Neurospora crassa OR74A: one gene and its partners. The protein of the gene in region 2 interacts with the protein of the main gene of each other region in a pairwise test. Links are inferred from orthologs where the notes say so. Each region holds a gene or a part of one and is shown on either strand. Other genes may lie near its edges.

Region 1 (6,685 bases), on a different chromosome or scaffold from region 2:
AGCCGCTTGCGCTTCTGCTCCTCCTGGTCCAAGCTCGACTCGACCTCGACGTACGCGCGCGACACCACCAGGTAGTGCGTAAACTCGTATGGCTCTTTGTCGTCCACGGCGTCCTGGATCTCCTCGATCATCATGTTCCACATGGGCGGGATGACTTCGGCCGGCATGTTGATGAGGCGCTCCGACAGGACGATGCCCACTTGGGCCTTGCCGGAGGTGAACAACTCAGGCAGCACAGACAGGCTGGAATCACCGGCCTTGACGGCCTTGTCGGACAGGTACTCAATCAGCTGCGCGACCGGTTTCTTCTCGCGGTGCTCCCACGCGTTGAGCACGGTCAGGAAGGCGTAGGCGTCGTTGGCCTTGTCGTCCACCTTACACGTCGAGCCGATGGTGTTCTGCTCGATGATCATGTCGCTGAGCCCGGACAGGTCGAAGAGCTGGGCGTCAGCGTCGAAGAGCTGACGAAGAAGCGTTTTGACGCCGTGGAAGTCGATGTCCTTGTCGTAATTGAACAGCTCGAAGTCGACGTTGATGATATCCATGTCCTTGTTTCCAACCAATGTTAGTATTACGACTCCCGGCCAAGAGAGGTTCGACCAAGATGCAAGTGGTCGGTTTAACAACCGAGCCTGGTGCACCAAGGGAAAGTAACTCACCTCATCCGAGTCTGAGCTGTCACTATCCTCATCCATCTTATCGACTGTGGGGTCGTTCTGGACGACCTCCTTCTGGGCTTCCTCTCTCGATCTTTTCTTGCCCATCTTGAATGTGGTACTTGAACGACTCAATAAAAATGGTCCTTATTCGACTTGTCAGTCGCATATTCCACACATGATTGTGTTCACAGGGCTCCTTACTTGGTGATATGTGGTTGACTTTGAGGTCATTCAGGCCGTCAAGCTCAAAATTTTGTAATGCAGTTGTTTAAGATTGAAATTGATAAGAACCTTATCGCCTACCTGCATATACCCTAACCCTTCCAGCTTTAGATACAACAAAATGGTTGCTAGGACAACCACAATTGCCCAAACTCCAAAAAGGGGGGGATTTCCAACCACGTTCACCCAGTTAATGATCTGCCATTGTGGAAAACTGCCACCGCGAACGATAAATGGAAGATACTTCATCTTTACGGACAGTGCTTGTCTATGGATGCCAGAAGACTGCAGGCCAGTCCTATCCAAAATGTTGACTTGGCTGCACCATTGCTGCCCTCAAACTAAAGTATAAGCTAAATCGTTGATCTTCTTACACATCCTTGATGTTATCTACTGAAAGTAACTACGTACCCCTTGACTTGTGCTGCATTCAGCTGGCGCAACATATTCCTCAACATTCTGACACCAGTTGATCACCAGCAGCGCTCCTGAGTAGCTGTCAAACAGACCATCCTCCCGCTACTCTCACACCCCAAACGTCTCATCTTGGTATGGGTCGACATGACATTGTCGGCGGCCACAGAGCCCTTTTCATGCTTACATAACCAATTCTCGGCAGGGCATTACTTCCCAAATAGTGACGTGTATCACAAACTACACCTGCTCAGCGCCCCAGCCCGCATCCACCTCGCGCATGTTTGGAGGGGGCTCAATAGAGGGCACAAATTCGAGAGCGACATAGGCGACTCCGACAAGGAAGATGATCGAGCCGATAATGATTGTAGCCCAGTGTCCATGGGGAATGATGCAGCCGACGAAGATGTAAACTGTACAAAGAGTAGACCGACGATTAGTCACAATAACTCAGCAATAGCAGCAGAGGGGGGGTGGGGCAACAATAACGTACAAACACCACGACCAAGAAACGAGAACATGAACGACGCATAGCGGTAGACTTGGTGAGGGATCTGGAACTCCAGGAGACCGGTGGCTGTGAAGAACAGCGTCAGCGTTTCGGAAACCATTTGAATGTTTCTGTCGACGTATGCGACCACCTACCAACACCAAACAGGATCGTGTAGCACCCGAGGATAATTGGTTGACTGTCGACAGTAACTTGGTCAGTTTTACATCTCCATACGATTTCTATCAGCCTGCGCAACAGTCCGGACAAAGCATGTAACACCCTTGTGAGCATAGGCGGGCGCGCACTGGCAGCCGGGACATCCAGGCTTCAGGACCATGATCGATTTCGGCGACCGCCCAAGATTGCTGCGTCCACAATATCCGCTCGTGGAGGGAAGCGCATAACTTTGTACAGTCGGTCGGCTTGCTAACGGGCGTACAATGAGGAAACGTACATTCCGAGAGGGAAGAACTGGGAGACACCACCCAGGATCATAAGCACTGCAACCGCGAGGTTGACAAAGCGACTAGAGAGGAGGACATCATGTTAGCAAGTAGTTCTGAACCTCGAACGGATGCTTGGATGCACGCAGTATTGGGGGCCAGCGGTCTTGCTTGTTCTCCGCTCTCATCCCCTTCTTTCTTTTCTTTCTCCATAGTCGCACGAGCGGGCGGATGTGAACGTACAAAGAGTCGGAGAGATCCATTATGGCGTTGTTTTAGTAGTGGCTGTGGTGGTGGAGGAGGTGCGAATACGTCGCAAAGGTTGGTAGAATGTCGCAGGAACAGGTGCGATCTGCTGGGTTCGACGCAATCTAGAGAGCGATTCAAAATGAGTCTCGGAAATTTGCGCGAGCGTAGAGATAGATGTGGCCACTTGGTGGTGGTTCTTGACGGAGCAACGAAAGATGTTGTGAGGATGGTGTATTCTACAGTGTTGCCTGGAACAATCGAAGCTCGAGGTCAGGAAGCTGGTAGCCTCACCTGCACCAAACAGGAGGGTCGGGTGGTCCCTGCCGGGGTACATTGTCCACTAAACCGGCCCCAAACGCGCGCAACGTGGGAGCTCCGCCCTACGACGCTGATGCAAGCGTGCGCGGCCTCTTGTCACTGGCTCCTACGGCATGTCAGGGCAGGGGCTTTCCGTCTGGAACTTTGAAACTTCCATTGCCGCATCACACTTCGCCATTGCAGCGAGGGTGTTGCAATTAGGGTTTACAGCCATGAGACGGCTATTACTATGCAAAACCAAATCCACTGGACGGCATCGATGAATAGACGCATAACCACTATGCGGATACTATGACTAAAGGTCTCTGGCTCCAACTGTCATTGGGATTTCCTCAAAAAGACTATGCCTTCCGTTGCTATCTATCTATGCACAAGTCAAATTCCATGGGTATGCTCTCCCGAATAACTCCAGTTGTTTCCCCCGAATTCACAGCATGCCGCTTTTTCAGCCTCCGCATGTCAATCATAACCCAACTCGGCAAGCTCCCGTTCCTTTGCGGCCAGCAACTCTCTCATCATTTCGGCCTCGCGCTCCAACGCTGCTCTTCGCTCTGCCTTCATCCGCTCGCTATCATTGTGGGTATCTCTCGAGGCGCTCCGCAAAATCGGAGCTGATGTTGGTGTCCCAATAACCGTACTGTTTGAAAATGACCCTGGACTGTGTGCTGGAGTCAGACTGCTCATGGCTGGGGACCGGGAGGCTGGTTGCATCCGTAACTGGTCTGCCGGCGAAACCTCTCGGTGTATCTCAGAACTCGGCATCGGGTTGAGAATGGATTTGATGGAAGACAGGCGCTTATGACTTTCGTTGTCATTATGAGACGAAGGTTCGTTCTCTACAGCAGATATCGACCGCTTTCTCGATGGGGACAGAAATGATGCTGGTGAAATGGACGCTTGACGATCAACTGGGAGCGCCAGTGAATGAATGGGAGCCAGTCGATTCTCGTAAGTGAGAGATGCATGAGCCCCGTGGTGTGGTTGATTTGTATGAGATGAGTGGTACTGTCCCAAGGCGGCTGAAGACAGCGGGGATGCCTGTCTGTTTCGCCGCAATTCGTCCTCAGGCACGAGCGTCAATGGTCGCACTGAACGTCGGCGGATGCCGAGATTAACAGATCCATCTTCGTTGACCGTACCTTTCTCCATCGGAGGTTCTGATGTCGCGGGTGGTGAATCTGGAGCCTCACTTGGCTCAATTTCGGCATCACCTCCGGCGGCAGGAATCACACGTTTTCTCCGTTTGATTATTGCCTTTTTCATGGTCACTGGCCGATGCACACCGTGCAACTTGTAATAGAGACCTTTACTCGAGTTAGCAAATTCCATCCCATTTGTAACTTTTCAGGCCATAAGTTCATGCACTTACCGCACGCATTGCAAATGGTATGACCGGCTTCGTCCCTTCGCCAGAGCGGAGTAATGGTAGTACCGCAGTTTTGGCAAGCAATAACAACGGTTGTGTTTTGCGATTGTACGTGTAAGGCGGTGATGTCCATCTCAGTCGGTTCTTCCCCGCTGCCCTCTGCTGCTTGAGGTTTCTTGGAAGACGCGGCTGCTGCGCCCTGACACTTTAGCACGTTGAGACTCGCACTCTTGGAAACGCGGTTGTTGTATGCGGGGCAACCACCACACCCCTCCGCACCACCTGTGCCGTTGCATCTTCCGCCTCCAGGGCACGATCCTGACGGCGTCTGATCGGCGGCCACATACGTTGCTCCCGGGTTGCTTGGCAGTAACGGTGCGGTTGCTTTTTTGGGGGACAATTTGGCCGCGGCCTGCCTAACATTGCTCGCCATCACGCTGGGAGGGCGCCTGATGTTGGCGGGGCGAGCCGCGTTACGCGCCTTTAGGTACAGTCCGCAAGCGTTGCAAATGATGGCTCCTTGAGGTGATCTTCGCCAAAGAGGAGTATGTGTCGTACCACAATTGCTACTCAGTCGTTAGCGCTGGCCTACAGATTCAGTCATTAGGAAAGGGACATTCATACCTGCAGACTTGACCCGCATGACCCTGAACAGAAGGCACAAGTCCCAGCGTTGCAACGTTCACCACCCCCACGGTTTCGGCTGGAGATTGTGCTGGTTGGGCATTTTGGATTTTTGGAGACTTCTTGCGACCAGACGGACTCTGCGCAGCATGCCCCGCTTTCTTTGAATTCGGCGAGAGCCCGGATTCGGACTTGGAGGCCGCCTCGTCAACCGGTCCGGTTGACTCGTGCTCCGGGGGCTCGTTACTTGCGGTCGGTGGGGGTGGCCTTGATGGAAGAGCCATACGATCAGGTGCCGAGTTACCTTCGATGGAAGTTTGGTTGTTCATAAGGCGAGTGTCATCCGGCAATGCCATTCCTTCTCAATGTGTTTGCGTATGGATCTCAACCTAACAATATGTATGCTCAAGGCTAGTTATCCGTCTTGAGAAGGGACACAATGTGTTTGAAAGCCTGTTGAAAAACAAAGTGGATGTTGTACGGCGCCGGGAGTCTTGGGGATGCGCAGGCTGGCTTCAATATCGCTCCGTGATCGTCAAGAGGCGGAAACGGTATCGAGGTCGGCGGTCAAACACATGCCGAGATCGATCGTTGGAGTTGTACTTGGATGGCAAGTAAGCCACCCCAACTTCTGGGCAATGTGCGCTAAGGACCAGGCGGGATCCGGGGCCAATACAGAGCGCCGGTACCAGGAGAACAGCACGTGTTGGGTGTCCGAAACAGGCGATTGATGGGGTCAAATGGCCAGAGGAAGCGAGTACTACAGACCGCAGCAGGGTGCCGCTGAATCAGAAGTTGGTTATGCTGGAAGAAAAGGCTTGGACACGGCGCCAGGTTGTGGTACGAGCGGGTTCGCGTTGGTGGCAAGACCTGGACGGTTGTGTACTCCGGTAGAGTGCACGAGGATGGCGAAGTCGGTCGGGATCCGAGGTAGCAGATAAAACTGAAGGGTTGGTGGACGGAAAAGGCAAAGCAAAAAAGAGGGCGGGTCTGGGCCAAAGGCTGGTCTTGAGGTTTTCTGTCGTCTTTCTGTCTTTTTGCGTCTTCTAGGTGAGTGGACAGACGAATGTCTGCATATCCTTCCCCCCTTTGCCTCAAGAGTCTCTGTTGTGCTTCTGATTACTACTCCACTGCTCCACAGATCTGTTATCTGATCTACGGATAATCCTGGCGAACCAAAGGGCTGAGAGACGGTTGGATACCGTACGCAGGAGGGCTTCACCCAGGGGTTCGTCTGCTAAGTAGTCGTTGCCAAGGACAAACACGTCTGGAAGGGAGGAAGGTTCGACAGTGTCTTAGCCTGAAGGAGGGCCACAAGAGAACAAAGCGGTTTGATTTTACAGTACGACATAGAGAGGATTTGGCACAACAAAAATCAAACCCGTTTTCCCACTTGTTTGGGAGACCTGATTTGAGATCATGGGACGTGGAATTGGGCTGGCTACAGGATGAAAAAGGTCCTTTCTCAGGTCCAGTGTCACTGGTCCCCTCGACTTGGGGAGCCAGATGCTGCAAGGGAATAAGTGACCCACAAGGTACCCAGATATGTCCAATCACGGACCACGCAATGTCAGCAGACAGGGCTTAGATGAGAATGACCGGGGTTCCTTATGCGTGCATTGGGTACGGGAACGCAGTGCCGACGGGTCAGTAAGCCGACCAATTTTACATACTCTGTAGACGCAAGTGTACATTTTGACGCAATGCGCCGCCATCAAGTCTCGTTTACCTATGTACACTATCTAGTCTAGTTCTACATTGGTGTTTCTTTCCAGCCCATCAGGCTCAGCAGGACATGTCTCACGACCTGAAAATATGGTTTTGGAAATGGTCTTGGTTGCTATGGTAGAAGGTACATTACACTATATCATCGCCGGGACAGCACCCAAAAAAACAC
Region 2 (8,522 bases):
AAGGCAACTGGTAGAGCCTTAATGGAAGAATACACCTCCCCAGACGTGTCTCTCCTGAGCAACTGTCCACTAAGTAGCCCCTTGTCCCGCCAAGTTACGGATGGAAAATTGAAAGATGTCTATGTGCTTGAGGCCCCTTCGACACGGGTAAAGGGTAACCAACCGCAAGTTACACCATGAGAAGGGAAACAGTGTCGAATCATGGCAGGCACTTGGTAGATAGAACGGCACGATAACCGGCATACTTGTCCCTCTCAACCTATTACCTGAGTGTGTCACAGGCCATCCCGGCATTACGGTGAGCAACGAGCTGGCGTGGATGGAGTTTAGAACTGAACATTGTTGGCTCGAATCACACCCAGCTCAGGCCTCCAATGCTGGCGTGCTTCGACGTCCATCTAGTAGCTGTGCGGGTGATACGGAAGGGGCTTGTCGGAATGAGTGACTCAGTCTCACTGAGTGACAATTCCAAATCATTAGAGTGAGGTGATGGTGATAGCATCCAGTAGATCGAAGACCAGTGTTCCGATTGCCCACTTCATCACAGCCCTTCAATGCGCGCCTTCCACATACGAGTTAAATTATCGGATCACACCATATCCACGGAAACCGTCTAATACGAAATGGGTTAGGTATCCATCAAGGTGCCCTCGGTATCAAATTTGGGAAAGTACGCCGTACATTCATTTGTGAGGCATGAGTGAGTTTTGAGCAAAAGAAACTTCTTCGAGGAAGCTGCGTCGGGTAAAATCTTGTCAACCAACCTCAAGCGAAACAAGGAACCTTAACGCAGAATCTATTGTTAACAGCCCTCAGAGACAGAAGAAGCGTTTCAAGCTACCTACTTCATGATTTCCATTTCTGTCTTTCCTATTATCAATACTATTCACCGTCCCATCATCCGATCCCTATGTGAATCAACTCGAACTCGCCAACCGCCATGGATGGACCGAAAACCCATGATGATTCCTTGGAGGCGTTAGAAAATAAAGCCTCCCCCTCCGAACTCACTTTCTACCCTCTTTCTCTTTCAACTTCATTCACCTTTGACGTCGAAGCTAGCAACCCAGCCTTGGGGACCATGCTATTAACCGGGCAAAAACGCCAGAATCGTGGAGGAACCGCACAGAAGCACCACTCTCAACGACCATCACGGTCAATGTTCTTTGACCCCATGACACCAACTTGCGACGACGAAAACCCCTACCCCCTGGGTGGATCATCTAGAGACCAAGTTCTGGGCCTGAATTCTTCGACATCGTCACTTGGCCGTCGGAACTCCAGCCTCAGACCCCAAGTAACGCCGGTTGGAGAGCAACGGTATCCGATGACGGAAATCATCAAGGCCAGACCTTCTGCAAGCCAGCATGGCTCCGAGGATGTGCAACGTCAAGCAGCGGGAAGCACGCGGCGCACATTTGAGCCCATGACACTCGATGAGAACCCACCCGTAAACGGCGAGAGAGAGCCAACCATAGACTATGTCACAGGTTTGCGTCTTGTCTTACTCATGGCGGGCCTTATGCTCGGTATGCTACTTTTATCGATTGACCGTACTATTATATCTACGGTAGGTGACCCGGAACTGATGAGTGAAGTGAACGACCCGGAACTTACACTGTTCGAACAGGCCACGCCCTACATCACGAAGCGATTTCATTCAACATCAGACATAGGTTGGTATGGCTCGGCATACATGCTCACATCGTGTGCTTTCCAGCCAGTCTTTGGACGCATCTTCATGCTGTATTCGGTCAAGTGGTCATATCTCACTGCCATGATTTTATTCGAACTTGGCTCCCTCCTCTGCGGACTGGCACCAAACTCGGCGACCCTGATTGTTGGGCGGGCTATTGCGGGGTTCGGCAGTGCTGGTATTCTAATCGGCAGCTTTATCATCGTGACGATGGCTGTTCCGCTGCAGAAGCGTCCTGTCTTCACGTCCGTGGTTGGCTTGATGTAAGTGTCCCAGCCCTGACTGCCCTTGTTTCTGAATAAGGCCTCATATGTTGACCATATCTAGGTTCGGTGTCGGGGCCTCGGTCGGACCTCTCCTAGGTGGTGTCTTTACGGACCTTGTGGTAAGTCTTCCTTACACTCCTGCATAACATATATTCTAATGTTATTCAAAGACGTGGAGATGGTGCTTCTATATCAACTTGCCGCTTGGTGGTGTAACCATCATCTGCTTGATTCTGTTCTTCAACCCCCAAAAAAGCAATCGCAACGCCGGAACATTCTTTGACAGATTTAAGGACCTTGATATTGTGGGCAATATCCTCATTCTGGGCGCTTTCATCATGCTCTTCCTGGCGCTTGAACATACGACTCGAGGCTTTTCATGGAACCACCCACTCATCATTTGGCTTTTAGCCGGTTGTGGTATTACCGCCATTATATTCATGGTTTGGCAATGGGCTAAAGGGGATGCGGCATTGATCCCCCCTCGCATCATCGAGCAGCGTACGGTGGCGGCATCATGCGGCACGGCCTTCATGATATACGCGATCTTGATCAACATGACCTTCTTCCTCCCGATCTGGTTCCAGGCCGTCAAAAATGACACTGCCATGCGCTCAGGCGTGCACATGGTCCCGTTCTTTGTAACCCAGTCGGTCTTTTCACTGATTGCAGGAGGCATCGTGTCCAAAACTGGTTACGCAACCCCTCCAGCAGTAATCGGCTCTGCTATTGGCACTGTTGGCCTCGGATTGCTGACTCTGTTGAAGCCCGGCACAGGAACAGCCCAGTGGGTAGGCTATGAAGTTTTAACGAGCGCTGGCTTTGGCCTGTCGATTCAACAATGCTTCACAGCAGTGCAGACGGTACTTAGCGAGGAGGACGTGGCGTTGGGAACTGCGGCCGTATCCGCTGCTCAGTCGCTTGGAGGCGCTATCTTCGTGTCGGTAGGAAACAGTGTATTTCAGCATCAGTTGCTCAAGGCAGCCGACGCCAACTTGCTCCCGGGAGTCGACATCAAGCAGGTGATCGAGGCGGGTGCGACAGCGTTCCGCGACTTGATATCGGCGGAGCAACTGCCCGCCATGATTCGGGTTTACAATAAGGCGATTCAGGCGGCGCTCATCATCCCCATTCCGCTAGGAATACTCGCAACTCTTATTGCGTGCTTCATCGAATTCAGATCGGTGAAGAAACTCATAAAGACCAACGAGGAGTCAGGCACATGCAGCACTGAACTTTCCGACCAGAGGCCAGGTACGAGCGCACGAATCTAAAAGGAGGTGTATCAGAAATCCGGGTCCAGGCGCATGGGATTCTTGGGGCGATTCATTTGCAGAATTTCGGAGGAGTAAATAGGCTCAAGAGGAGCACCATATGGATTAGAAGTAGGGGGTAGGTCAGCATGATTGCCGAATATTCCAAGCAATATTCTGGAGGTCAGCTCAAGAATCTGTGTGGAAGGATTTATGTCACCCTGCGACCTGAGTTAGCGTATTCTGTGACGGTTTGTGAGGGACGACTGAAGTTAATAGTAACTGTTGTTGTGAAGGGTGTTTCCTGTTGTTGGGGCAAGAATGACAAGTCGATGTGCAAGTGGTGCGTTCAGGGGAACAGTAAACAAATGCAGCCGAGCTCCTTCAAGTGCATACCATGAGTACTGTAATGTCTGATAGATACTACATCAACAATGACAGGCAGTATGTTGAGGGTTGCACCGGATCCGGAGCCCGAACAGCCGGCCGCGAGGTGCACACAAGCCTGTGACAAGTTGGAGCTTGTAAATACATAATGTTGCCTAGCGATAAGCAGCATCGCTTTGCCATATATTTGCAGATCTAGGGACCAAAGACCTCTCCTCTGTTTGCTACTTGCTCTCATTTCAGCTGCCTTTCTCGGATTCAAACAGCAGCCGTCAAATATTTGGCAAGAGATCTCACTCTCGTGGAATTGAAAGGAAGTCTTTTGTTACCACGGTTACCACAGGTGCACGGTTAGATTCGGACTGCCTGTTTCGTCTGTTGAGCGATTGCTATTTGACGGTCTCGGCCTGTCAGCCCTTTTGTTAGTCCATTCACTTTGTTCGGTGTGGAACCTGAAGACCGGCAGAGTGGGGCTCTTTCTTTGAAGCTCCACTAACATTTCTCCAACGATCGCTGCTCACTTTGCGACTCTTCTACCTGCTCGTCATTGCTTTTCCCGCTCGACCATCTTCATCCGCAACATCGTCCAGGACAAGCTCACTCGTTCTTGCTAAGCCTTGGCTCGATATCTATCTGACCTCGTAGTAGAGGGAGATTTTCGCATACCCAATCGAAGCCGCCGATTACCTGACGCGAACGCTATCGCTTGCGCATAGTCACACACGGCCAGCCTAACGTCATCTCCCACTCACACCATGGATGACCGAGAACTCGCCGCGCGCATCAAGGCGCTCTCCAAGGCTGTCACCAGTGAACCCCCTGCGACGGTCATCAAACTTTTGGAGGAATTGAAAAGAGATGCAAAGCCGACCGAGGAACAGCTTCGCGTGAGTCTTGCTCTGCCCTCCCATTAGCGCAGAGCGATCTATGTGAGCGGTATAAGTTCTGACAACTTTGCCCGTCCTAGTCGACGAAAGCAGGTGTGACCGTGGGAAAGCTGCGAGCCAATCCCAACAAGGACATTGCCCGTATTGCCAGCGAGATCGTCAACAAGTGGAGGAAGCTCGTCGAAGCTGCGAAGGAGGCGAAGAAGAAGAGCCAGGCCGCCGCGGCCTCCGGTGCCAGCTCCCCAGCACCCAATGCATCCCCGGCGCCCGCATCATCCGCGTACAACAAGCCCTACACTGGTGACGTCGAGAAGCGCCATTTTAAGACAGACAAGGTCGACATCAACCGAACCTCGAGCCAGACGCGCAACAACACCATCGGTGTGCTCTACAACGGCCTCGCTTACCGAAGAACTGAGTCGATTGAGGAAGTCGTCAAGCGTGCTGTCGAAGTCGAGAATGCCCTCTTCAAAGCTTGCAAGGGCGAAAACCAGGAGTACCGGAGTAAGGGTCGCACCCTCTTTACCAGCCTGAAGCGCAAGGACAACGCTGCGTTGGGACGACGAGTGATGTCGGGCGAGCTGCCGGTCGAACGCCTTGTCGTCTTGTCGGACAAGGAGTTGGCCTCGGAGGAACAGCGCGCTAGGGATGAAGAGCTGGAGAAGGAGAACATGAAGAAGGCCCAGGTACCCATGGCGGAGAAGTCGATCAGTGATGCTCTGAAGTGCGGAAAGTGCGGACAGAGGAAGGTGTCGTACAGCCAGGCGCAAACACGGTCGGCTGATGAGCCTATGACGACCTTCTGCGAGTGCACAGTTTGCGGAAACCGCTGGAAGGTATGGTTGATACACACGCTTTCTTTGACGGAAGTCAATTTGATCGCTAACAGTTGCATGTTTAGTTCTCTTAAATGGCGGGGCACAACAAGCTCCTTCATCACATTCCTTTTGGTATGGCTTGGGCCGCAGAGTGTGCGTCTTTTTTTCTGGCTCGATATGTTACTTTGAAGGGGAAATCCGCCTGTTGCACGCTTCGTTGGCTGATAATTCATGACTGGATCACATTCGCGTTTGGAAGCTCATTTGGCAGCAATATGAGATTGAGGTGTCTCAAGAATATCCCTCCACCTAGAGAGCACAATGAAAGAGGAGGAGGGGGTGGGGAGGAGCGGAAATGGAAAACAAAGTTACTCGAAGACGGAAGACGCTGTACCTTCGGGAACTTCTTCAAACATCGGAGTATGGATCATCTAACTTTTCTTATTATTTTTTATACCCCAGCGAAGAGGTGAGCGATGAATCACTAGCTACTTCATGACTTGGAAAGAGGTAGATATTGAGACGGGCAACGACCTACTTAGACCTCACACCACGCATTAGCAGTAATATAACCGTTAAGAGGCCATATGGCCGATATGGCTCAACAAACGTTTCTATGTGGACCTGTTGGACTCTCGGATGAGATACAATTAGAACATATCACATGTTTGATGACAGCAGCGAACTCAGCAAGCCTGACTCAGCAGGCACAATATTTACGTTGTTCAGTCCGTCTCAATTCCTACCTCTTCAATTCCTCTAGCCCCAACTCCGCAAAAAGATCCTCCGCTTGCGCCTGGGTATCGTTTTCCAGCCCCATATCGCCAATATGCTTCCAGAACTTGCTGAGATGTCTATTGCCCGAGTCGCACAATAACGTCACCACCCGACTGCCTCTTGGTAGTTTCATGGCTGTCACCACCGCCGCCACGCAGTTAACAGCCGTGCTACTGCCGCAGAAAATGCCGTCGTGCTCCACCAACCACCGAGCCATCCGGCAGGCCTGCTCATCTGTCACTCGCACGGCATCGTCAATCAGCACCCGCCCGGACTCAAAGTTCTCCGTGATGCGGTTGATGCCGATACCCTCCACCATCGTGTCCACCTGCTGACGCCGGCGTGTACCTTCCCGCTCTGTCGACGAGTACATGACGCCGTGGCGGATCTTGTTGAACAGCCCGCTGCCCTGCGGATCCGCCAACACCACGCGCGTCTCCCATAGGTTCTTTTCCTCCTTCAGGTACTTGGCCACGCCGGCGATAGTGCCGCCCGTGCCGGCACCAGCCACAAAGGCGTCCAGTTGCCCGCCCGTCTGGCGGTAGATTTCCGGTCCCGTGGTCTTGACATGTGCTTGGTAGTTAGCCGTGCTCTCGAATTGGTCAGCAAAAAACCCGACGCTGCCGTCCGCGTGCACCGCCTCGTGCTCGCGCGCCCGCCTGCGGGCTAGGTTGACAAAATGATCAGGAGACGTGATGGGCGCCGGGTCGACCCGCTCCACCGTCGCGCCCAGGTGGTGCAGCAGCTGCGACTTCTCGATCGCCATGTCGTTCGGCATGCAAATGTGGCACTTGTACCCCTTTGCGCGCGCCAGCGTCGCCAGCGAGATGCCCGTACTGCCCACAGTCCCTTCGTAAATGGTATCGCCGCGCCCGGGCACAAGCAGCCCGCGCTCCTCGGCGTCCTGGATCATGTTGAGTGCCACTCGGTCTTTCGGGCTGCCGCCGGCGCCATTGAGGAGCTCGGCTTTGGCGAGGATGACACAGCCTGTTGCCTCGGACAGGCTGCGGATCATGACTAGGGGGGTGTTGCCGATGCAGCCCTCGATGCCCTCGACCCAGTCGAAACTGCTGTTGATATTGCTTGTTACTTCCTCGTGGTCTTCTAGTCGCACCGGACCGAAGATGAGACTCTCGCGGTGTACCCGGTTGGCGGTGGGTACTACGACGCCATAATCGCCATTGGATCGGCTTAGGTTGCGGTTCCTCCGCCGTTGGTACCGATTCTCGAGTTCGGGGTAGCAATCCTTGAAGCCAAGGGTGACGAGGATACCCGCGGCGAAGGCGGCTGTGAGAGCTACCGTGCCGTAGACACGGGGATGGTCGCTTATTGACATGTCTTGGCGGTTGTTTGGTGTGGAGGGAATCTGAATTATCTCATAGTAGGTGGTGTCTCGTTATGGTGTCTCGATAGTTAGATTTGCGCCGTTGGCGCTGTTGCACGGAAAGAGAATTCGGTTGTTGAGTTCTTTGAGATGTAAAGGCACAGAAGCCGAAATACACAAGAACAGAAAATGTCGAAAAATGAAGTGAGAGGGTGTCTGTCTTATCTGATGTGGTCGGGTTGTCCTCAAAAGTTGTGAGGTTTTTTGCTGTGAAGTTGCTGTTGATGTCATGCAACGATGGATCTTCAGAGCATAGTGTTATCGATTCAGTCGCTCGTCTCCCACGGCAGGCAGGGAAGAACCTTTGGCTCCGGTGACCGGCCTCGCCTCCGCTGAAGCCGGTCAGATCGGAAGCCATGAGGCCTGTCACAGATAGTGTCGTGAATCGGCACTTCCCCGTTGCTGCGGGTCACTGGTGGTAAGCGCCGTTGGGGGCAACGGACAGCGAGAGCCGAGCCATCCTCCAATGTCGTGTGTCCCTGGCCTGGGCCGCCACCACCGCTGTCCCGAGCGCAACTGTCAGCTAGTTCTAGAACCGAATGAGGAAGTGAGCTCGGGCCACCCCGCAAAAGCTCCAGGATCCATCCCCCCTCCCCCATCAACCTCCACCTGTCGCCCCGTGTCCCCTTGACGATTCCACTCCACCACATTTACCGACCAGGTATACGGTACCTCGACCTTCCTTCTCACTGGCGCGGGGAGTTCAGTTGGAGCAGGTGGCGAAACGAACAGACCGTCAGCAACCTCCGGGATACTGCCCGGGCTTCATTCTCTCGCCCACCAACAATCTGGACTCACCCGGTCAGTATGGACTCGCAACTCGTCAACCAGCTGTTCAGACAGCTTTTTCGCCATCATCCGGCATGTCAATCACAGAAGCATCTCCGCCATCTTGCGACCGCGACAGCCCATAATGGACATCGAGTACAGCAATACCACAGACGACAGCAGCGACGACCATACTCGAGCCAGCGTCGTGGCGCGAGCTCTCCCGTGGGGGATGAAAGCCAATGGCAGCAGCGGACAAAGATCCTGAATCAGGACATGACAGAGG
Region 3 (6,898 bases), on a different chromosome or scaffold from region 2:
GTGGTTTGGTAAGCTGTTGGGTTCCCCCGTCAAGATTGAGTCGGTGCTGGGGAGTCGTTACTCTCGTCAGGGCTACTATGATGCTAGCTATATGTAAGTTAGGAGGGATCTCGATGGGTAGGGAAGGGGAGGAAAGGAAGGCAGTAAATGGGAGGTGGGTTAATGGAAGGATTTGAATTCGAATAGACAATTGTCAAACCGGACCGCAACGACGGATCAGGATTTAAAATAACATAAATAAAGGTTTTGTCCCCAGCTGATGCCAAAATGACTGTGAAAAAAAAAAAAAAAAAAAAAAAAAAAAAAAAAAAAAAAAAAAAAAAAAAAAAACTTTGGAAAAAAAAAAAACTTTGGAAAAAAAAAAAAAAAAAATTGAGCGCGGGCCTCAGATCACCCTGTAATAGATCTTGTTGTGACGACTTTTCACACCTAGCTGGGGATTGATATTTAAACTTTGTTGCGATTCAACTGTGCCTCAGTGATGGTTTAGACTTGAGTCTCCTTGAGCCTCCTCAAGCAGGAAAAGCAGGAAAGCATCACTAGACTGACAAGAGCTGGTTGTTTTTCCACATAAAGGCAACGCACTAAAAGCCAAAGCATTCTAACGGAATGGTATAACGATTTGCACTGAGATGATAATGTGTATAAACAGTCCTAGAAGCAGAGGGGAGAAAACAAAGCGAGTGACCTAAGCAAACCAAAAACGTCCCAACCCATAGATACCTTATTCAACGCCGGTTCGAAACAGAGGCCCTTGAACACCCCGGAGAAAACAACTCCTGCCGCTGACAAATGCGAAGTGACGAAAAGACGGCCTAAAATGCCTTCAAAATTTGAAGAGCCTTCAGGATTCGAAGAGCCCTCAAATTCGTGGGGGGACTACCAACCTAGACGTCGTCCATCTTACCGGCGGCCTCTTCGTCGTCTTCCTCGTCAAAACTAGCCACGGATGATAGTTCGCCGTCGTCTTCACTTTCTGCGTCCGCCTCGTCTGCGGCGTCCTTACTCGCGTACTTCTGGACATATTCTGCAAAAATAATTTCAGCTTCCCCCCTTTCTGTACTCCAAAGCAGTTTTCATGTGTTGACATACCCTTCACCTTGTTCTCGTAGGTCTTGGGTTCTCTGAGCAACATCGCAGCAGCCTCACCGTTGAGAGGATCGGTAGGGTTCGGGTAACGTAGAAGCTGAGGCAGGAATACTTCAAAGATGTTGATCATATCGAACATTGGCGACCATGTTTGGTTGATGACGTCTAGACAAACCGATCCGGATCTGGTATGCGGCGTATTTGGTTAGCCCCAATTGCTCTTTTGCGGCGAGTGGCCCATTATTTGTTGCTTGTTTCTCCCCGGCGAACCAGAGCCCACCCAACGTATTGTCGTGATTGTTTCCTCGGATGGTGCAATCAGTTTGGTATCAGTCCCCACTTACAGCTCATCAATGTTGGGATGGAAGATTCGGTTCACGAAGCCAATGCTAGGGGACTTGTATGGATACTGATCGGGTAGCTCGACGCGGACTTTCCAGATGCCGCCTTCAAAGGGTGCTGTAGGGAGGGCTTGGTGTTAGTGACTGTAAGATCCTCGAGATACATATGGCGACTTGAGCACAGGTGAGACAGGGAATGGAAGATATTGGGTAGACAAACTTTCGGCAGGCCCTTTGAACCTCACATAGAATTCCTGCCTGTTGTATTGTTAGGTAAGCCCAGCAACCCAGCTCGGATTATTTAGTTGTCGCATCTTACACTGCATTCTCCATGTTAGCGCTCCGAAACCGGAAGTTGAATGTTTCCTACAGGGAGTTGGAAAGGGTGTATCCATACTATTATCGTTCACCAAAGTAACCTCATAGTCGCTCATGAGCCTGTCGTATCAGTCGTGTTAACAGTGCGCTCTTGGGAAAGGGTTGTTGGAGCTTTGTAAGGACGGGATTCGTACATCTTCATGACCTGTTATCAATGTACATATTAGCACGTGTGTCCCTGACTCGTAACTGAAGGTGAACACTATCGCAACTCACATCTGTCTCGATACGGCGGCGTGGGGAACTCATGTTGTCTATCAGAAACTCGCGCTCGGTTCGGCCTTTTTTGATAAGAATGAAGTGGTAACTAGCTTCGAGTTGTCGCAGGCAATCTGAAGCGAAGTCGCAAGCAGTCGCGTTATCGTATAATTCGATGTTGTGAACGGATGACAAGTGTCAAGACTGCAGAATGCGGGAGTAGGCAGTTGGATGCGTGGTCGGCGGGTGGTGGCGAGATGCAATGTCGCTCTCGTCTGGTCTCCCAGCTGCGGCCGAAGTGGGTTGGAAGCGAAGCTTGGGCGTTGCTGACAACCAAATATGGCGGGTAGGTTATCGCGAATAGACTCGAATAGGTAGGCACTGAAGCTGATCTGTCAAAGTGTCGATAGTTTGATTGATTATTCAGGTCGGAAAGTCGAAGTTGGGAACAAAGTGGGATGAATGAGACAAGTCGCACTCCCGTCACGTTCCCGCCCGCAGTAGCGACGATCGTCCACGACGTCAGGCTTACCGTACAGCGCTGACCTCCTCAGGTGGTAGCAGCCAGGGGTGCATTTGCCGGCCGCGAGCGAATGATAAGCAGCCAGGAGTGGGGATGGTCATGCGCTGAAGGGATGTGATAATGATTCATTGGCGGTCACTCGGGACCGGCTGTTGTGCTTCAGATGTTGAGGACGGGGAATGACGGGACAGCGGGAGGAGGAGTCAACTCCAGTCAACCTTCTCATTATGGGAAGGCGAGTTTACCAACCGCAAGGTACACTTCGGGGGTAGTGTTACATGTTTGCTTTGTCTCCAAGCCAAATCCGGTCACCAACAACAGACACAATGGTCAACAGCAACATCTGATAAAGAACGGCGCATCATCAGCTACCAAGAGGTAGGTGACATCCTTGTATTGGATCGTATAATCTCGAACGCGTTCCGTGCCGCTCAACAGACATATAAGAGTTGACTCGGATCCAAATTCGGGATATCCCAACAATCTTGACAATGGTGTGTGTGTGTGTGTGTGTGTGTGTGTGTGTGTGTAGTGCCAATGAAGAAACATGTCGATCAACCCCGTTAACATACCGTCACCCACCATCGGCCTTGCGTCCATAAAGGTGGCCGGCGATCCGACGTCAAGATTCAACTGTGAATGGCGGGAAAGTCTGGGGAAAAGGAAGCACTAGACTAGACTAGACTTGACAGAAGGAAGTTTGGTTGGTGTTGTGGTTGGCGATGGCTGTTCACCAGCGACCAGGTACACGGGTCACGCGGTCTCCTTGAACGGTGCTACATTTTGGGCATCATAAACTTGGCTGGTTGCCTGCGACTTTGCGTGCGGTCCTAATGAGGCAGATAATCCAGCAACTTCAAGGCCCAAGACATTTTCATCTCTTAAGCCCACGATATAGGTAAGGTAGTCCAACACTAAATCTTCGGCTCTGGACCACGGTAGCGGAACGCCATGCGTTCATGTAGGGCTGACAATTCCCCGCAGTTCACAATGTCATCTGAAGCCAAAGTCGGCGGGTTTACATAAAGTGGTTGCATAGATGCTACCTATCTGACACGGCACAGAAAGTCTTTCACTCCCCTACAATAGTCTATAGAGCCTCAAACCATCACGATAGGCAGGTCAACACCGTCAATGTTCTCGGTGTCCGTTCGGAGACGAACATCATCATCAAGATGCTTGCGTTTGTCCAAGTCCCAAAATTGTTAGTGCAGCGCCAGTGAGTGTCAGTCGACAGTCACCGATGCCTCGGCCCCAGGGACACAGCCAATCAAGCACATCCAAGCGACCGGTAAAGTGGGTAGTGTGGGTCTTTCTCCGAACGCCCGAACAAGCCGGCGGGTCCCAGTCCCCCCCTTGACACTTGGCGGAAACGGGCAAAGAACACCAAGAAATTTGTGAGATATACTCAATTCTACGCAGCAAAAACCATCATGGCTTCAGGAGTTGAAATAAAAAGGAGGAGCCGGGCGCAGTGAGAAAAAAAAAATGGCGCAAATGTAGAAATCATTTACTCTTCCTCTCAATCAATCACTTTCAGTGCAGCATTGGTTATTTCCATCAACCACCAAAACCGTGGGGAAAAGTTGCATCGATTGTTCCAAGCATCGCAAAGTCGCTTCATTCATTCCGTTGTACCTTCACCTTGCGTATATTCTGGACCGGTACTTTACATACGCTTCTCATCACTTATATAACACCACCACCACAGCCACAACCATTACAACCACCATAATGCACAAGCAAATAACATCTTCACTACTCCGGAGGTCTTCTCCCTTCCTTTCCAGGGGTACCAATTGCAAACCATTAGTCCTGCTGCGTGGTGCCGGCGGTGCATCTCAACCTCACCTCAACACCACCACCACCACCACCACCACGGGATACTACCAACCCCAACTACACCACCACCACCAACATGTGCAAATCCAAACCCGCTATTCTTCTCACTCCCCCATGGGCCTCCCGCCCACCAACCCCCGCAAAAAGGTCACGCTCAACACGCTGCAGTCCATGTACAAAAAGGGCGAGAAAATCACCATGATCACGGCGCACGATTTCCCTTCGGCACACGTGGCCGAGCACGCGGGCATGGACATGATCCTGGTGGGCGACAGCCTGGCCATGGTTGCTCTGGGGATGGAGGACACGAGCGAGGTGTTGGTGGAGGAGATGTTGCTGCATTGTCGGAGTGTGGCGAGGGCTACTAGCCGGGCTTTTACTGTGAGTTTTTCTTCTTCTTCTAATATCCTATATCCTCTCAACTCATGGTCTCTATTTGAGAACCCTTTGTTTATACCTACCCCTATTTTTTTCCTTCTCCGTCGTCTCATTTATTTTTCCCTCGTCTTCAATCATTGCCCCTATTCACTATACCCTACTCCCTATGTGAACCATTAGAAAAAAGAAAGAAAAAAAAAAACACTAACCATGCTTCCAGGTCGGCGACCTCCCCATGGGCTCCTACGAAATCTCCCCCCAACAAGCCCTCTCCACCGCCATCCGCTTCATCAAAGAAGGCCGCGTGTCCGCCGTCAAACTCGAAGGCGGCGCCGAGATGGCCCCCACCATCCGCGCCATCACCACCGCCGGCATCCCCGTGCTCGCCCACATCGGGCTCACTCCCCAGCGCCAAAACGCCCTGGGTGGCTTCCGCGTCCAGGGCAAATCCAAAGAATCCGCCAAGCGATTACTCCGAGACGCCCTGGCCGTCCAGGAGGCCGGTGCTTTCGCCGTGGTGGTGGAGGCCGTGCCGCAGGAGGTGGCGGCCTTCATCACCGGTCTCCTGAAAATCCCAACCATTGGCATTGGTGCTGGAAACGGCACGAGTGGCCAGGTGCTGGTGCAGGCCGATATGACGGGGAATTTCCCGCCTGGGAGGTTCTTGCCCAAGTTTGTGAAAAAGTATGGCGATGTGTGGGGGGAGGCGTTGAGGGCTATTGAGACGTATAGGGATGAAGTCAAGGGCGGGAGTTATCCGGCCGAGGAGCATACGTACCCGATGGCGAAGGAGGAGGTGGAGGCCTTTGTGGGGGATGTGAGGAGGCTGATGAATGCGAATGCGTCTGCCAAGGCTGAAGGGGAGGGTGAGAAGGATGCGTGAGTAATGCTGTAGTGTGTGCGTGGCAGCGGCGGGAGGAGGAGGATAATACGCCTTGCATGATGTTGGGATAAAAAAATGTGTTGCTGTTTTTGGATATAAGAGCGTTGCCTCACGTTGATAGTGTAGCAATTTGATATGTACCTCTGTCGTGATCCCTTTAATTTGATGTGAGATGCCGTGGATATTGATGACCTTGACGGTGTGGCGTTCCGTGGTGTCAAAACCCTTCAGATAGTTGCTCAAGGATGCTGAAGTTTCCATAGTAATCCTAGATTTGTTGGATGATTTTTCGACACGGCTCGTCACAGTCTTGACACAGTCTAACATGCTGTCCATAAGATATGTTCCGACCCTGCAAATCTCCAGGGATTGATTCACCTCTCAGACTTGAGGTGATCACCCAAAAGACGGCGTCATCGAATACGAAACATTTAGCTGGTTCGTAGAATCCTTAAAGCACTGCAACACACATCGTTAGCACACATTTCACACAATTACTCGCACTTGACACTATCATCACCCCCGAAATTATTACCACCTTCACCAAAAACCGGAAAAAAGCCAAAGTAAACTCACCCTCCACAAGTTCCCCACCACCTCATCCAACGCCGGCGCAAACACGCTATTCACATACAGAAACACGCTATCCGTCTCCTGCACCTTCAGCGTCTTACGCAGGTACGCCACCACCGTCTCGAACGAGTGCGTGCTCAGCACTTTGACTTGCTCCCTTCGGAGGGCGGGCGCCGACCCGACCGGCTTGAAACGAATCACCACCTTCTCTTGGTCAAAGGTCCCGGCTTCGGCGAGGGCGGCGGTGGCGTCCCGCGGGAGCGTCATCAAAACCGTGGAGGCGGTCATGGTCAGCGGCAGGTTGGGCGAGTCGCGGCCTTCGAGGACAGGGGAGGCTGTGGATGAGTTTGGGTTGTTGTCGTCGTGGACTAGGGATGGGGAGGCGGTTCCATGTAGGGGTTGGGAGGATGCCATTTTGGGGTTGTCTGGATGTGAGGTGATGAATCAGAAGGAGAGAGGTTGAATTGAAAGTTGAAGCGATGAACCGTATCACGGGTTTGTCCTGTTCGTGTTTGTTTGTTTGTTTGTTTGCTTGGTGATGATTGAGCGCTTGGACCAGTTTCTCGGTTGGACTTGATCGTGGTGTTCCTTTGGTAGCTTTCTTGAGCAGCCTGAGATCCAACGGCTATATTCAGGTGACTCTGCTTGTAGGCCGCACCGGTCGGCTATCGAGTGAGGCTGATGATGTTGACG

What was found. The genes of interacting proteins can lie anywhere in the genome.
Region 1: the proteins of NCU02563 (region 2) and NCU07727 interact in a two-hybrid assay, tested with the Schizosaccharomyces pombe proteins (2 studies listed by BioGRID, with this or other methods). The link is inferred for Neurospora crassa OR74A from reciprocal best matches to the Schizosaccharomyces pombe genes tfs1 and tvp15.
Region 3: the proteins of NCU02563 (region 2) and pan-2 interact in a two-hybrid assay, tested with the Schizosaccharomyces pombe proteins (2 studies listed by BioGRID, with this or other methods). The link is inferred for Neurospora crassa OR74A from reciprocal best matches to the Schizosaccharomyces pombe genes tfs1 and ecm31.

What each region holds. Positions count from the first base shown.
Region 1 is NC_026504.1:2,072,096-2,078,780, reverse strand, and holds NCU07727 (COPI-coated vesicle protein), read right to left. Parts: upstream 2,750-6,685; 5' UTR 2,495-2,749; coding exon 2,475-2,494; intron 2,315-2,474; coding exon 2,243-2,314; intron 1,985-2,242; coding exon 1,941-1,984; intron 1,873-1,940; coding exon 1,789-1,872; intron 1,709-1,788; coding exon 1,536-1,708; 3' UTR 1,115-1,535; downstream 1-1,114. Other genes in the region: NCU07726 (bcp-1), read right to left, coding at 1-548, 660-764; sre (siderophore regulation protein), read right to left, coding at 3,258-4,102, 4,168-4,730, 4,789-5,144. UniProt on the Schizosaccharomyces pombe protein: Golgi membrane protein involved in vesicular trafficking.
Region 2 is NC_026501.1:2,739,929-2,748,450, forward strand, and holds NCU02563 (transcription elongation factor S-II), read left to right. Parts: upstream 1-4,117; 5' UTR 4,118-4,357; coding exon 4,358-4,489; intron 4,490-4,569; coding exon 4,570-5,325; intron 5,326-5,390; coding exon 5,391-5,399; 3' UTR 5,400-5,929; downstream 5,930-8,522. Other genes in the region: NCU02562 (hypothetical protein), read left to right, coding at 1,697-1,959, 2,024-2,081, 2,133-3,236; cys-12 (cysteine synthase 2), read right to left, coding at 6,050-7,420; NCU02565 (hypothetical protein), read left to right, coding at 8,276-8,522. UniProt on the Schizosaccharomyces pombe protein: Necessary for efficient RNA polymerase II transcription elongation past template-encoded arresting sites.
Region 3 is NC_026506.1:3,263,213-3,270,110, reverse strand, and holds pan-2 (3-methyl-2-oxobutanoate hydroxymethyltransferase), read left to right. Parts: upstream 1-3,991; 5' UTR 3,992-4,263; coding exon 4,264-4,752; intron 4,753-4,969; coding exon 4,970-5,632; 3' UTR 5,633-5,784; downstream 5,785-6,898. Other genes in the region: NCU10045 (pectinesterase), read left to right, coding at 1-97; NCU10046 (ubiquitin conjugating enzyme Ubc8), read right to left, coding at 888-1,027, 1,093-1,274, 1,434-1,548, 1,651-1,688, 1,750-1,763; NCU10049 (autophagy protein Apg12), read right to left, coding at 6,029-6,091, 6,209-6,619.